Ovis aries: one gene and its partners. The protein of the gene in region 1 interacts with the protein of each later gene in a biochemical or structural test. Links are inferred from orthologs where the notes say so. Each region holds a gene or a part of one and is shown in the gene's direction. Other genes may lie near its edges.

The links.
Region 2: the proteins of NR2F1 (region 1) and AHR form a complex in vitro, tested with the Homo sapiens proteins (2 studies listed by BioGRID). The link is inferred for Ovis aries from reciprocal best matches to the Homo sapiens genes NR2F1 and AHR.
Region 3: the proteins of NR2F1 (region 1) and GTF2B form a complex in vitro, tested with the Homo sapiens proteins (2 studies listed by BioGRID and IntAct). The link is inferred for Ovis aries from reciprocal best matches to the Homo sapiens genes NR2F1 and GTF2B.

What each region holds. Positions count from the first base shown.
Region 1 is NC_056058.1:90,688,387-90,692,657, forward strand, and holds the start of NR2F1 (COUP transcription factor 1), read left to right. Parts: upstream 1-1,314; 5' UTR 1,315-4,271. UniProt on the Homo sapiens protein: Coup (chicken ovalbumin upstream promoter) transcription factor binds to the ovalbumin promoter and, in conjunction with another protein (S300-II) stimulates initiation of transcription. Binds to both direct repeats and palindromes of the 5'-AGGTCA-3' motif.
Region 2 is NC_056057.1:26,814,931-26,818,721, forward strand, and holds part of AHR (aryl hydrocarbon receptor), read left to right. Parts: intron 1-2,456; coding exon 2,457-2,580; intron 2,581-3,506; coding exon 3,507-3,637; intron 3,638-3,791. UniProt on the Homo sapiens protein: Ligand-activated transcription factor that enables cells to adapt to changing conditions by sensing compounds from the environment, diet, microbiome and cellular metabolism, and which plays important roles in development, immunity and cancer.
Region 3 is NC_056054.1:66,102,850-66,106,640, reverse strand, and holds part of GTF2B (transcription initiation factor IIB), read left to right. Parts: intron 1-3,643; coding exon 3,644-3,777; intron 3,778-3,791. UniProt on the Homo sapiens protein: General transcription factor that plays a role in transcription initiation by RNA polymerase II (Pol II). Involved in the pre-initiation complex (PIC) formation and Pol II recruitment at promoter DNA.

The sequences.
Region 1 (4,271 bases):
ACTGAGGCCGCCGTGGGGGGGGGGGGCCGGGGGCGGCGGGGGCGCACCCCTCCCTCCCTTCCTTCCGGAGAGGCAGGAGGCTTCGCCTGAAGCCTCTCGAGGCCTCCACTTCTTTCCCAGCACCCCCGGGGCACGCCGGATCCCCCCTGGGCCTCTTCCAAGTTTGGAAGCTCAGGGTAGGGGGGCCGGCAGGAAGAAGCCCCTTAGAGAGGGTGTATGGGCCCCCACGGCTCTCGGGGAGCCGCCGCTCGTCCTCCAGCCCCGCCTTAGCCCCTAGCCCGCCCGGCCAAGGGAAGGCCAAGGCAGCTCCGCGGGCTCCTTCCCGCGCCCACCCAGCCCTCGGGCGCGGCCCCCGGCGTCGGCTCCTCCCGCCCCCTCGCGCCCGCCCTGCGCGCCCTCTGACGCAAACGCGCGCCCCTGCCCTGCGCGGAGAGCTCGCTGGTCGGTTTTAATTGCGGCTCTTCCTTTCATGCACTCGGGCTCAGTCCTCACCCCCGGGGGAAGTGACCCCTCCCCGCCCCCGCCCCCGCCCCCGCCCCCGGCCCCGTCCCCTGGTTGCTGGGCTGGCTGCAGATCTCGGGCTCTCTCGCCGCCGCCGCCGCCGCGGGTTCTCCGCTCGGGAGAGCGGCTTGGGGGTCCCTTTTAATCCGCTGACGCTCTCACCCACATCAAACAGTCAGCCATCGATCGCGTTACATTAGGGGGATCCCGTTGCAAACGGCGTCCGCAGGTGGGCAGCGGGAGCCGAGCTCACCCGGGCCTGGCTGCAGCCGGGCAAGGCGCGGGCTACGAGCCGACTCCACAGCGGCTCCGGCTTGGCACCCGCCAAGGGGGTTTGGGGCGGGCGGGGGTTGAGGGGCGGCGGCGCGGATTGCCCAACCTGTGGACCCTCCGTCTGCCCCCCCTCCTCCAAGAGGCTCCGCAGCCTCTTCCCGCTGGTGGGGAGGAGGGTGGCAAATGGAGATGGGAGGGCAATCAGTTTTGAATCTGGGCCGATGCTCGGTGGGGCGCGATCCTCAGCTCCGGGGCGGCCCCGCGGGCAGCGATCCCTGTTCTCCACGCCGCCGCGGGACAGAGGCCGGGGGGAGGGCGGCTCCGGAGCAGGCCCCCCCGCGATAAGTTCTTCTCGACCCTCCCCTCTGGCTAGACCGAGGGCACCGCCCCCGCCCCCCGGCCTGCGGAACCCGTGCGAGCAATCGCTGCCTCCCGGCCTGTCCGCGTTGCAACAACCACCCCGAGTTCAAAAGAAACGATAATCATCGCCTTACTTGCCTGGTGCGGCAGAGATGGGCCGGCTCTGGCTTCTGGCGCCCAAGACTTCCGGTCCTGGGTCCGAGGGCGGCCGGGCCCGAGAGCAGGGCGTCCAGGCGCGGGGAGCCTCCGGTTCCCTGGCGCTCGCTTCGCGCTGCCTCTTGCACTCGCTCCGTCTCTTTCCAAGTTCTCTTTTCCTTCTCCCGGTCTCCCTCTCTGCCTGCTTCCTCTGCCCTCGACTGCCTGCCTTTGTACTCTATGAGTAGGAACATTTAGAATTCATATGAGAAAACTCATTCTTTTGCTTCCTTCTTTCCTTCTTTTTTTTCCTCTTTCCTTCCTTTTTTTTTTTTTTTTTTTTTTGTTCTTTTAATCGTGTTCTCGTTTCACCTTTTAACTGACCAGGAGACTTCGGCGCGATTATTTGGGGAGACGAGAAAGGGCAAGGAGCTCTCGCTGGCCCCCCGTCGCCTCCCCTGAAGCGTACAATGGGGCGGCTGCTTGCAGAGTGCATGGACTGTGTCCCTTCATTATTCGAACTGGAGGGGCTGCGGGGCAGCGGGGCGGGGGGGCAAGACACAGGAAAGCCTTTATTCTGCTCTTTCGCATCGTCGCTCGACACTAAGCGGTCGCCAGGTTCCTGACTCTCAGTAGGACTGGAGAGAGACCGGGAAGCGCAAAACGCACCCCGAAGGGGCAGCGCTTCCCCCAAACCCCCTCCCTGATGACATTTAAAGGGAGAACGAGTATTAAAACACACAAACCCTACCTCCGGCAATAACAGCGTGGCCTTTTTTTTTACTCCCACCTTCACCTGAGGGCGTGTGGAGGCTCGGGGGTGCTGGAGCTGAGACAACTTTGACGCTCTCCAGAGTCGAGGGGCGGCAGGCAGGCGCGCAGCTCCGCACCCCCCGGCGGCTGCGGGCGGCGGCTTTGTCACTCGGCGCCGCTGCGCGCCCGCCTGAGCCTGCCTAGGGGAGCGATCGCAGAACGAGGAGGTGGTGGGGTGGGGGGGAAAGATGCGAGTGTGCGATTGGAGAATATGTAACTAATAGAAGTATCATTTTCCCTCAGTACGATCTTTCAAGGAAGAAGGAGGAGGGAAAAAAAAAAATCCATTGAAAGAATTTTCAAAGTGCTGTGTCTTGGTTTGCAGAAAAGGCACAGGGCTGCGTGCCGGGAGGAGGAGGCGGGGAGGAGGAGGGGACCCGACCGCGCGTCTCCGGGACGCGGCTCCCGTCCGCTAGGTGGCAGCCGGAGCCAGCGATTCCTGCAGGCCTCGCGGCGGGACCCGCTCCTCCCGCCCGGGCCTCCTCTGGCGACCAATCGCCTTTGGGAACCGGGGGTCTCTCCCCTCTTTCCCTCTCTCTGCCCCCTCCCTCTTCCCCTATCTCTCTCTCTCTCTCCCCGTCCTTTCTTCCCTCTCTCGCCCCCCCCACCCTCCTCATCCCCACCTCCCTTCCCCATCTTCATCCCTTCTCTCTCACCCTTTTCCCCCTTTTCCTGGGACTCGGACTCGGCCCGCACTGACCGCCCCCCCCCCCCGCAGCAATATGAGAACTTACTACTCTTTTATTAACAATTATTGGAGCGTTCTTTGGAGGTTAAAACAGCCTGAGGATATCAAAAAGGGGAAGGAAAAAAAGGAAAAATCGGGGGGGGGGGAGTTTATTTTAAACATCACCTTTGGGATGAAGAGGAACCATTGATTCGGACTGATTTGGGGGGCAATTTCTGCGAATTCCAGGAGTGCTTTTTGTCATAATTGAACCTTTCATTTTAAAACCAAAATATACGTTGGATCAAGGTGGGGGAGAAAAAAAGCCAGCAAGTCCCTACTTTGTTTCTTAAAGGAATATAAAATGAGCAGAATCTACTCTAGGGCTGTGCTTGTATGTGAAAACACAAAACAATACAAACCCAGAATATTTTTCAGGACTCGTTAGAACGGTAAGAGTTTTAATTCCCATTTAAAATTTTCCTAACATTTCCAATGATCGTCTTCATGCTCATAAAAGCTAAATTTAAAAACTTTTCAGAAGAAAACAAAATAATGCCTGATTCTCTTTTTTTACCCATTGCAAGGCATTCTTCCCCTCGCCGTCCCTTCCCCCTCTGGTGTTGGTGTATGTGTGTGTGTGTGCGTGTGTGTGTGTGTGTGTGTGACCATAGACGACCCATACTAATCAGGTCTCAGAGTAAATAGCAGCGCAGGGCGATCTCAATGTAAATTGCGCTTGTCAGAAGCACACCCCCCCACACACACACTTTCTTTCCTCCTCCCCTCGCCATCCCCGTCAGTAGGTAGCTGAGAGGGAGGGGAAAGAAAAAAAAAAGAAAGAAAGAAAAAGAGGAGGGGGGAGGGGCTCTCCAACCAATGGCGTGCAGGAGGCTTGGCTAACCTTAGCCTCCCATTTTCTCTCCCCCCGATTCAGGGCTCTGACCAGTCAGTCGCCTTTGATTATCAGTTGCCAGCAGCCCTTCTCTTGGCTCCTTGACACGAGCTCCATATAAGGCAGCGATCTCCATAGAAACGTGTCAGTTTCAATAGTAGTGTCAAAGTTCACTATATACAGACATTCGCACAGATCCCCCTTTCGGAAACACTGCTCTGCGAGTCCTCCCGTTTAAACGCATTCAATTTTGGGGTCTCTCTCTCTTCTCTCTCTCTCTCTCTCCTCTCTCTCTCTCCTCCGCCTCTCTCTCTCTCTCAATCTCTCTTTCTCTCTCCTCTCTCCCCTTTCTCTTTTCTTACATATTCTATTAGTTGTTTCCCCGTATTCTTCTTTTTCTCCTTTTTCTCCCTCCTCCTCTCTTTTACTCCATTCCTGCAGAAGAGTGAGGGCTAAACTTAAAAAAAAAGAGAGAGAGAGAGAGAGAGAGGAGGAGGAGGCACCCCTTTCGTATTCTTCTTATCGTTATTTTATACATATATGATTTTTTTTGGAGGGAGGGTGTTGGTTCCCGGCTGAAGAGCACTTATTTAAAATACTAAAAAAAGAACATTTTTGGGCGATCTC
Region 2 (3,791 bases), on another chromosome or scaffold:
GAGCAGATGGGGTTTGGATGGGGGCAGACAGGAGAATATTTGCCATCAAATTAGTTATGGAAATTGGAGGGCAAGTGGTAACTATGAAATGAATGAGGTGATACGTAAAGGTACAAGCAAACTACTGTGGCTTATCCCTTTAATTCCTACTTGTGTGGATTATAAAAGTTTTCCTGAAGGAAATGGTATTTAATCTGAAGAGATTGTGGGCTCCAGATGAGTGGACAGTTGTGGAGGGAATGCAGAGAAGAGCTACCCATACTCTAGGTAGTAGGCTGGAAGGCCTTGAAGGAGGTAAGTGTGTCTGGTTTAATGTTACTAAGTATATGGTGAATATGGATTCATAAGGTGTTCTGTGTATTTGAGGGGCGAAAACATCCAATATGATTTGGGAACAGTTTGTAAGTACCCTTGAATGCTCGCTACTGTTACATATCAGTAGTTCTTAATTTCTAATGTTCTTAAGAATCACTGAAAAAACGTCATTAAATTGATGAGTGTCAGTCCCATATAATCTAATTCAGTATGTCATAGTGGAGCCCATGTATTTTATTTCTAACAGGCTCAACAGGTGATGCCAAGACTGATGTCGAATAACACTGTCTTCACTGTTATATGGCCTGAAGTTTAAATTATGTCATACACACTATAGAAGCCACTAAATACTTTTGTTGAAGGGAATGCATGTGCTCCAATCTATATTTCATAAGATAACTCTGGCAGTTGTGTAATGAATGGCACAGAGATGACTTCATGTTAGAAGAAAAGGTTCATAGGAAGGTTCAAGTCCGGATAGCTAAAGAGGTGGAATCTGGCTCCTGACACCAGACCTAAGTATTTTTGAATTTTAAAGGAAATGTATTAATGTCCATGGAAAAACCTGTTAGAAACTTCATTACATAACTAGCTTAATTATTATTTGATTGATTCATAACAGTTAAGAAATAAAAAAGCTTAGCTATTTCCCAATCTGTTTTTTTTTTCTTCATATCTATACCTAACCTGGATATTCTTTAAGAAAACATTTATATCTGACATTGATGGTGGTTTATGGCACCATTTCTAAAACTGCAGGTCATGACTCATGAGTGGTTGATGAAATTGATACAGAGGATCACCAGTCATTCTTTTTAGCTGCTTCAAATAAAATAGGAAACACAATATTGTCACACATAAAAGCTCTCTGTGGAACTTTTTTCCATGTCTATATGCGCACAAACAAACACACACAAGGGATGGAAAATATTTCTTGCTGTGAGTTGCAATAAAAAAGTTAGAACACTAATGGTGGAAAGGCTAAGGTCTCAGCACTGTAGTAAATGCTGAGAAGCAAGAGGTGGAGGAAAGACTCTGACCTTTGTAAAGGCAATATCCCTTAATCTTAGGGAATCTACTAGAAGTCAAAATTTCATGTCAGGAAAATTGTTAGAGAGCAGGGAAGGAAATATGTAATACTTCAAGCTGAGGGAAGTCAAATTTAACTGAATGTTCAGACAAGTTTTGTCAAAGGAAGATTTTTTTTAAAAATTTAATTGGTGGAAAATTGTCCTACAATGTTGTGTGGTTTCTGCTGTACAACAATGCAAATCCGTCATAATTTTATATATATGTACCCCCTTCCTCGTAAGCCTCCCTCCCCTCTCCCCAGCCCTCTAGGTCATCACAGAGCGCCAGGCTGGGCTCCCTGTGGTGTGTAGCAACTCCCCACTGCCGGTTCTGCACATGATAGCATGTATGTATCAGTGCTCTTCTCTCAGTTCGTCCCTTCTGCACCTTCCCCTGCTGTGTCCGCAAGTTCATTCTCTACTAGGTTCATCAGTACTGTTTTTCTAGATTCCATATATATGTGTTAATATATGATACTTGTGTTTCTCTTTCTGACTTACTTCACTCTGTATAAGAGGCTCTATTTTAAAAGATCAATAAATAAAAATCAGCAGAACCTCACGTGTTGCAGTTAAGGAACAGGAACGTGACTTATTTGACTAAAAAGTGGTTCACATAGGGAAGCGATGACAAATAACCTTTGATTTGTCAGCTGTAGTGCTTGTGTCGTTCTAGCTTTTCTTGTTTTTAATTCCAGGAGAGCGTTGCAATTGTTTGATTTGCATACATCACCACTAAAAAGCACCCTGTAATCGAGCAACTAGGTTTTGAAATTAATAAACCACATTTTTAAAAATCAGTGTATGCGTGCTCCGTCACTCAGTCACATCCGACCCTGCAACCCTATGGACTGTAGCCTGCTAGGCTCCTCTGTCCTTGGGATTCTCCAGGCAAGAATAGTGGGGTGGGTTGCCATTTCCTCCTCCAGAGGATCTTCGCAGTCTGGGGATTGAACCCACATCTCCTGTGTCGCCTGCATTGGTAGGCAGATTATTTACCACTGAGGCACCACGGACGTTCATTTAAAAATCAGCACTACTTGTTAATTTCTTTGTTTCTTTTTTCTTTAGTCTGATGTCATCCATCAGAGTGTGTATGAACTGATCCATACCGAAGACCGAGCTGAATTTCAGCGCCAGCTGCACTGGGCATTAAATCCCCAACAGTGTCCAGACTCCGGACAAAGAATTGATGGTAAGAATGTTTACCAAAAGGTAGTGTTGGGAATTGAATTCTCTGAAAGGAGGCAGAGAATCTTTAGGGGCATGGAACTCCACAGTGAAGATGAGGAAGAAGGGGAAAGACATGAATCTCTAGCCGTGGGCCAGAACCAGGTCACAAGAAGCCTGATGACCTAAGGAGGACCTCGAGAGATGACAGCCATTGATGAATTCCAAGTGATAAAGTATAGCCATATACTCAGTAATATAGTGTATAAAAATAATTCTTACATTATTGTGAAAGAGGGGATGGAATGTACAAGGTTAATTCTGGAGTGTGTATAGATTGTTCTGGGTTTAAAATGCACCAAATATAAAAGCAAACTGGCAGATGGAGGAATTAAAAAATACTTTTTTCAACAAAAGCAGTGTCTTCATACATATGTAAAAATGTTAAAAAGGAGAAAAAAGGTGTTAGAAAATATAGAAATTGTTGACAGTGATAGCTCAGTAGAAATAAAAGCAGCTGAATAGGTAAAGTTCTATGTAGTAAAAGTATTATTCAATAAGTTTTAATTTCTTTTCACTAGCTTCTCTTCTGAAAGTGATTTTTTTTAATAATCAGAATATAGCTTTGGTTTAGAAATGAACACAGATTTCAGCTATTCAGACACTTGTGCTGTGCTGTGCTAAGTTGCTCAGTTGTTTCTGACTCTTTGTGACCTCGTGGACTGTAGCCTGCCTGGCTCTTCGGTCCATGGGATTCTCCAGGCAAGAATACTGAAGTGGGTTGCCAGGCCCTCCCTCAGGGAATCTTCCCAACCCAGGGACCGAACACATGTCTTTTATGTCTCTTGCCCTGGCAGGTGGGTTCTTTAGCACTAGGACTACCTGAGAAGCCCAAATACTTAATTTTTAGCAAAACAGAAAGTAACTTTGCGTTGCTATTTATTTCTATAGAAGCTAATGGACTCTCCCAGCCAGCCATGTATTATGACCCAGACCAGATTCCTCCAGAGAACTCTTCGTTTATGGAGAGGTGCTTCATCTGCCGACTCAGGTGTCTGCTAGATAATTCATCTGGTTTTCTGGTAAGGTGTAGCATCTTATACTGGCATTTATTATGAAGTTGTAGAAAATTAAAAAGAAAAGAGAAACAAATCTGAATGTATTTGAGTTTGGGTTATAAAAATCTACTTAATTAAATAGTTTTATAAAGGAAAGTAACTTTTTAAAAGTCTTTTT
Region 3 (3,791 bases), on another chromosome or scaffold:
GCAGCTCCTGGGTTCTGGAGCAGAGGCTCAGTCGTTGTGGTGCACAAATCATAGGGTAGGTGTGTGCCAAAGTAGTTGAACAGTTTTAAACTAGTGTGAATGATTTTGGCAGTTACTCTCAATTTCTTCCTGAAAAAAGAGAGATGAAACTCACTGCTTTAGAATATAGTAAAATGTCTTAGTTAATACTCTCTAGACACCTTTCTGATAATGTGGATTGAGAACTGTGCATGTGTGTATACATATTGAATCTCTACCTTTTTGGATGGGAACTTATCAGAGTGTTAAGAGATCACATAATATAGATGGAGGGAGGAATAGTGCTATTATATATATTGTAGTAGTGCTATGATTTTGCTGTTAAATTTTATATATAGACTTTTTATCTGTTGTTGATTTTATAACAATCAGGGTGTGGTTTAAAAAGGAACTTAAAAGTTGGCTTGTTTCTCTGTTTGTAGAACAGTAAAAGGCTATGTGAGGTCGTATGTTATGCACTTATGTGCTAATTATCGGGCTTCTGCTTGTCAGAGGTTGACTATACCTAAACAGTACGGCTGCCTTGTACACTACTCCCTGAAAAGACTCTAATGCAGTTTCCTTCCAGAGCAACGTTAAAAAGTGCGACCGCATTTAGATGTGCTTCAAGAAGATCTTTTATGTGTTCTGACTTTTTTTCTGAATGATCTGCTGTATTTCTTATTACTCATGCAGATAATCTGATGGTCTAGTTGTAGCTTCATGATGTGCTATTTGAGTTATTTTGGAAATTTTATTTTCTATAAATGCTATGTTTTGAGCAGTAAAGTATAAAAAGAGGGAATGACTCTGAGCACAAACCACAGATTGTTGAATGAGTCATGTAGACCATCCCCACGTATGTGGAAAAATTACATCACTACCCAGTTCTGGGCTTTCTATTTATACTATCCTAGGCCAACTTTTTTTTTTCCTCTCCTAATCCAACTTTTTTGAGGCAGTAAAAGCAACCACAAAAGAAACTCATGGTAAGTTAATTTCTGGTCAAAAGGAAAATGCTATGAAGTGAAGCATACTACTAGCAAACTAGTACTGTATCTTTAGTGTTCCAGAGAGACTGAAAAGATGCTAGTAAAGATAAGGAAAGTAGTCTCTTCATACATCCATTGTGTTAATTAAAGTGTTGAAAGTTAATGATAGCATTTGATTTTTTTTACTTAAATTTTTAAGTAAATCTAGATTTGAAGGCTGCAGTAGTTTTTGTTGTGTGGTTTTATTTTACTGATTAGTAAAGTTAGATTCACTTTTCTTCCGTTGAAAATATGAAGAATGGAGACTGGCAACACTTTGAGGAGTGGATACTATTGAAAGGGCTAAACTATGTCTAAAAGTTTTGTTTTGGTGTTTTGATTAGAAATTTAGTGAAAAGAGCTTGTAATGAAATAGACACTATAATTTTAATCTCACAAAAAAAGTATGTATACAGGTGAATGGAAGAGAAAATATATGCCAAAGTATTGACAGTGGCTATCTTTGGGTGTTGGGAATACAGGTAATTTTAATTTGCTTATATAACTGTTTCTTGTAAGCAGCTACTCTTCTGTAAAAGGAACAAAAATCAGTCTCTTTAGAGTAGTCTCTCTGAGACATGGGCCTTGCTTAGTATTGTAGTAAAACTCTGCACAGTTACAGATTTTACATTAATGTCAGGTAAGTTTTAAAACTCATTATTAATTTACATAATTAGAATTGCTTCTCATGTTTAGTGATGTTTGCCCTTATTAGGAGGAAACAGAGAAATGCATCTTGACCATCCCATTAATGTAACTTTTTCTCCTTATTTTGGGCCGCCTGCTGAATCTCTGATCCACAGAAGTTGCCTTACCTGATTTAGCTTCTGCTTTCCTTGGCCATTTTCACTGCCTAAGGTGTGGCAAGTGGTGTTCCTATCTCTATCGCACTTGTCTTATGACATGGACATGTGGTAGTCCAAGTGAGATCTGGTTATTCCTAAGTGATTTGAGTATTCAAAAGAAGAAAAAGTCTGCCCCAAATCATCAGGAATGATTCTGTTATGTATTTACTTGTTTTCTAAACTAAAACCCTAAGGTCAGATCACTCTACTCTGTTTAATAACTCTTAGTGACCCCATGGACTGCAGCCTACCAGGCTCCTCCGTCCATGGGATTTTCCAGGCAAGAGTACTGGAGTGGGGTGCCATTGCCTTCTCCAATAAGCATTTTAGTTTACCATATATAAAAAGTTCAGTAGTCTGCATTGAGTTCCTCTGTTCTCTCCCCACCTCCTTTGCTGTCCTACATACCAAATACTGCAGCAGAGCACTCTGATACTTGTCTAGTATGGAGGTTAATGTTTTACAACTGGTGCTCTTCTTATTCAGAATTAATAACAAACTGTCAGAATGTCATCTTATTTTTATAGCATTAAATAGCTAATATCAAGCAACTTACTTTGAACTGGTTTTTAAGCACTTCATATGGATTGAAACTGTATTAATTTATTTAAAATAAGGTAATTGGGGAAATTTAAAGCTGAATCATTGCACTACTGTAGAAATGAGGAAGTTTGTCCAAGGCTAAACAGCAACTGATAGAGTCCATACTGTTAACCATTATATTAATTGACTGTCAATATCAACTTTTTTTTAACTACTGAGATAACTTATTTCTTCCATTCCTTTCTGTTTGCTATATATAGGCACAGATGAAAATGGCCTGGTTCCTGCTTTTAATTTTATCACATTGGTGAAAAGCTAATGTTTTATAAATGCAGTATAGAACAGATTCTGGAATCCCATTCTCATTTCAGTTCTAGTTGTGTGATGTTAGGCAAATTAATTTTATTTTTAATGTGGCAATAAAAGTGATACCTATTTTTATAAAGCTTTAAGGATTGAAAAATAACATTTACAAAGGGCACAGTGACTGGCAAATGCAGGTGTTCTTGTTAACGCTTGTCTGTGGTAGAGGTATTACCAGCTGTTGAGCATTCCCCTCAAAGCAGTAATCTACACCAAATCTACCTGTCTGGTTTCTTGGCCTGGCGTTTTTAGCCACTGCTTCTTTGTGTAAAAATAAAAGTTTACCTACCTTTTTGCTTACTGATTCTAGGCTTAAGTTTATTCTGTATGAATTATTTGACCCCCAAATATTTTCAATATTTTCAAATAGTTACTAAAGTATCCCCTTAGGCTTAGTTCTTTGCAGAGCATTGCCCATGAAAACTTTGTAATTTCTTTAAACTGTATATTAATAACATCATGAACAGTGTTTTCTGGTTTTTATTTCTGTGCCTGTTGCACGTTTTGTTCAAATCTTTATTCTTTTTTTTTCAAATCTTGATTCTTCATTGTTACTTTATCTTTTTCTCACTTGATTAACTTTATTTTTGTCTTTATTTTGTCTACTTCTTTATTCCAGGAGTTAAAATACAGCTAATCATAGCATAATGTTTAAAGAGGGTTATTATAGAACTGTCACAATAGGAATACTTTAAGATAAAAGTCTGAAGACAAGATACTTAAGCTGAAGCCTGATGTTTGTGTTGAGATTTTCTGGGAATAAAAGAAATAAGTTGGGCACTAGGCTGTGTTAAATAAATCCTATCTTGACGAGACAATTCAGATTTCCATTTATATTCTTAGGTGACCGAGTTATCGATGTAGGATCTGAGTGGAGAACTTTCAGCAATGATAAAGCAACAAAAGATCCATCTCGAGTTGGAGATTCTCAGAATCCTCTTCTGAGTGATGGAGATTTGTCTACTATGATTGGCAAGGTAATAAATCCATT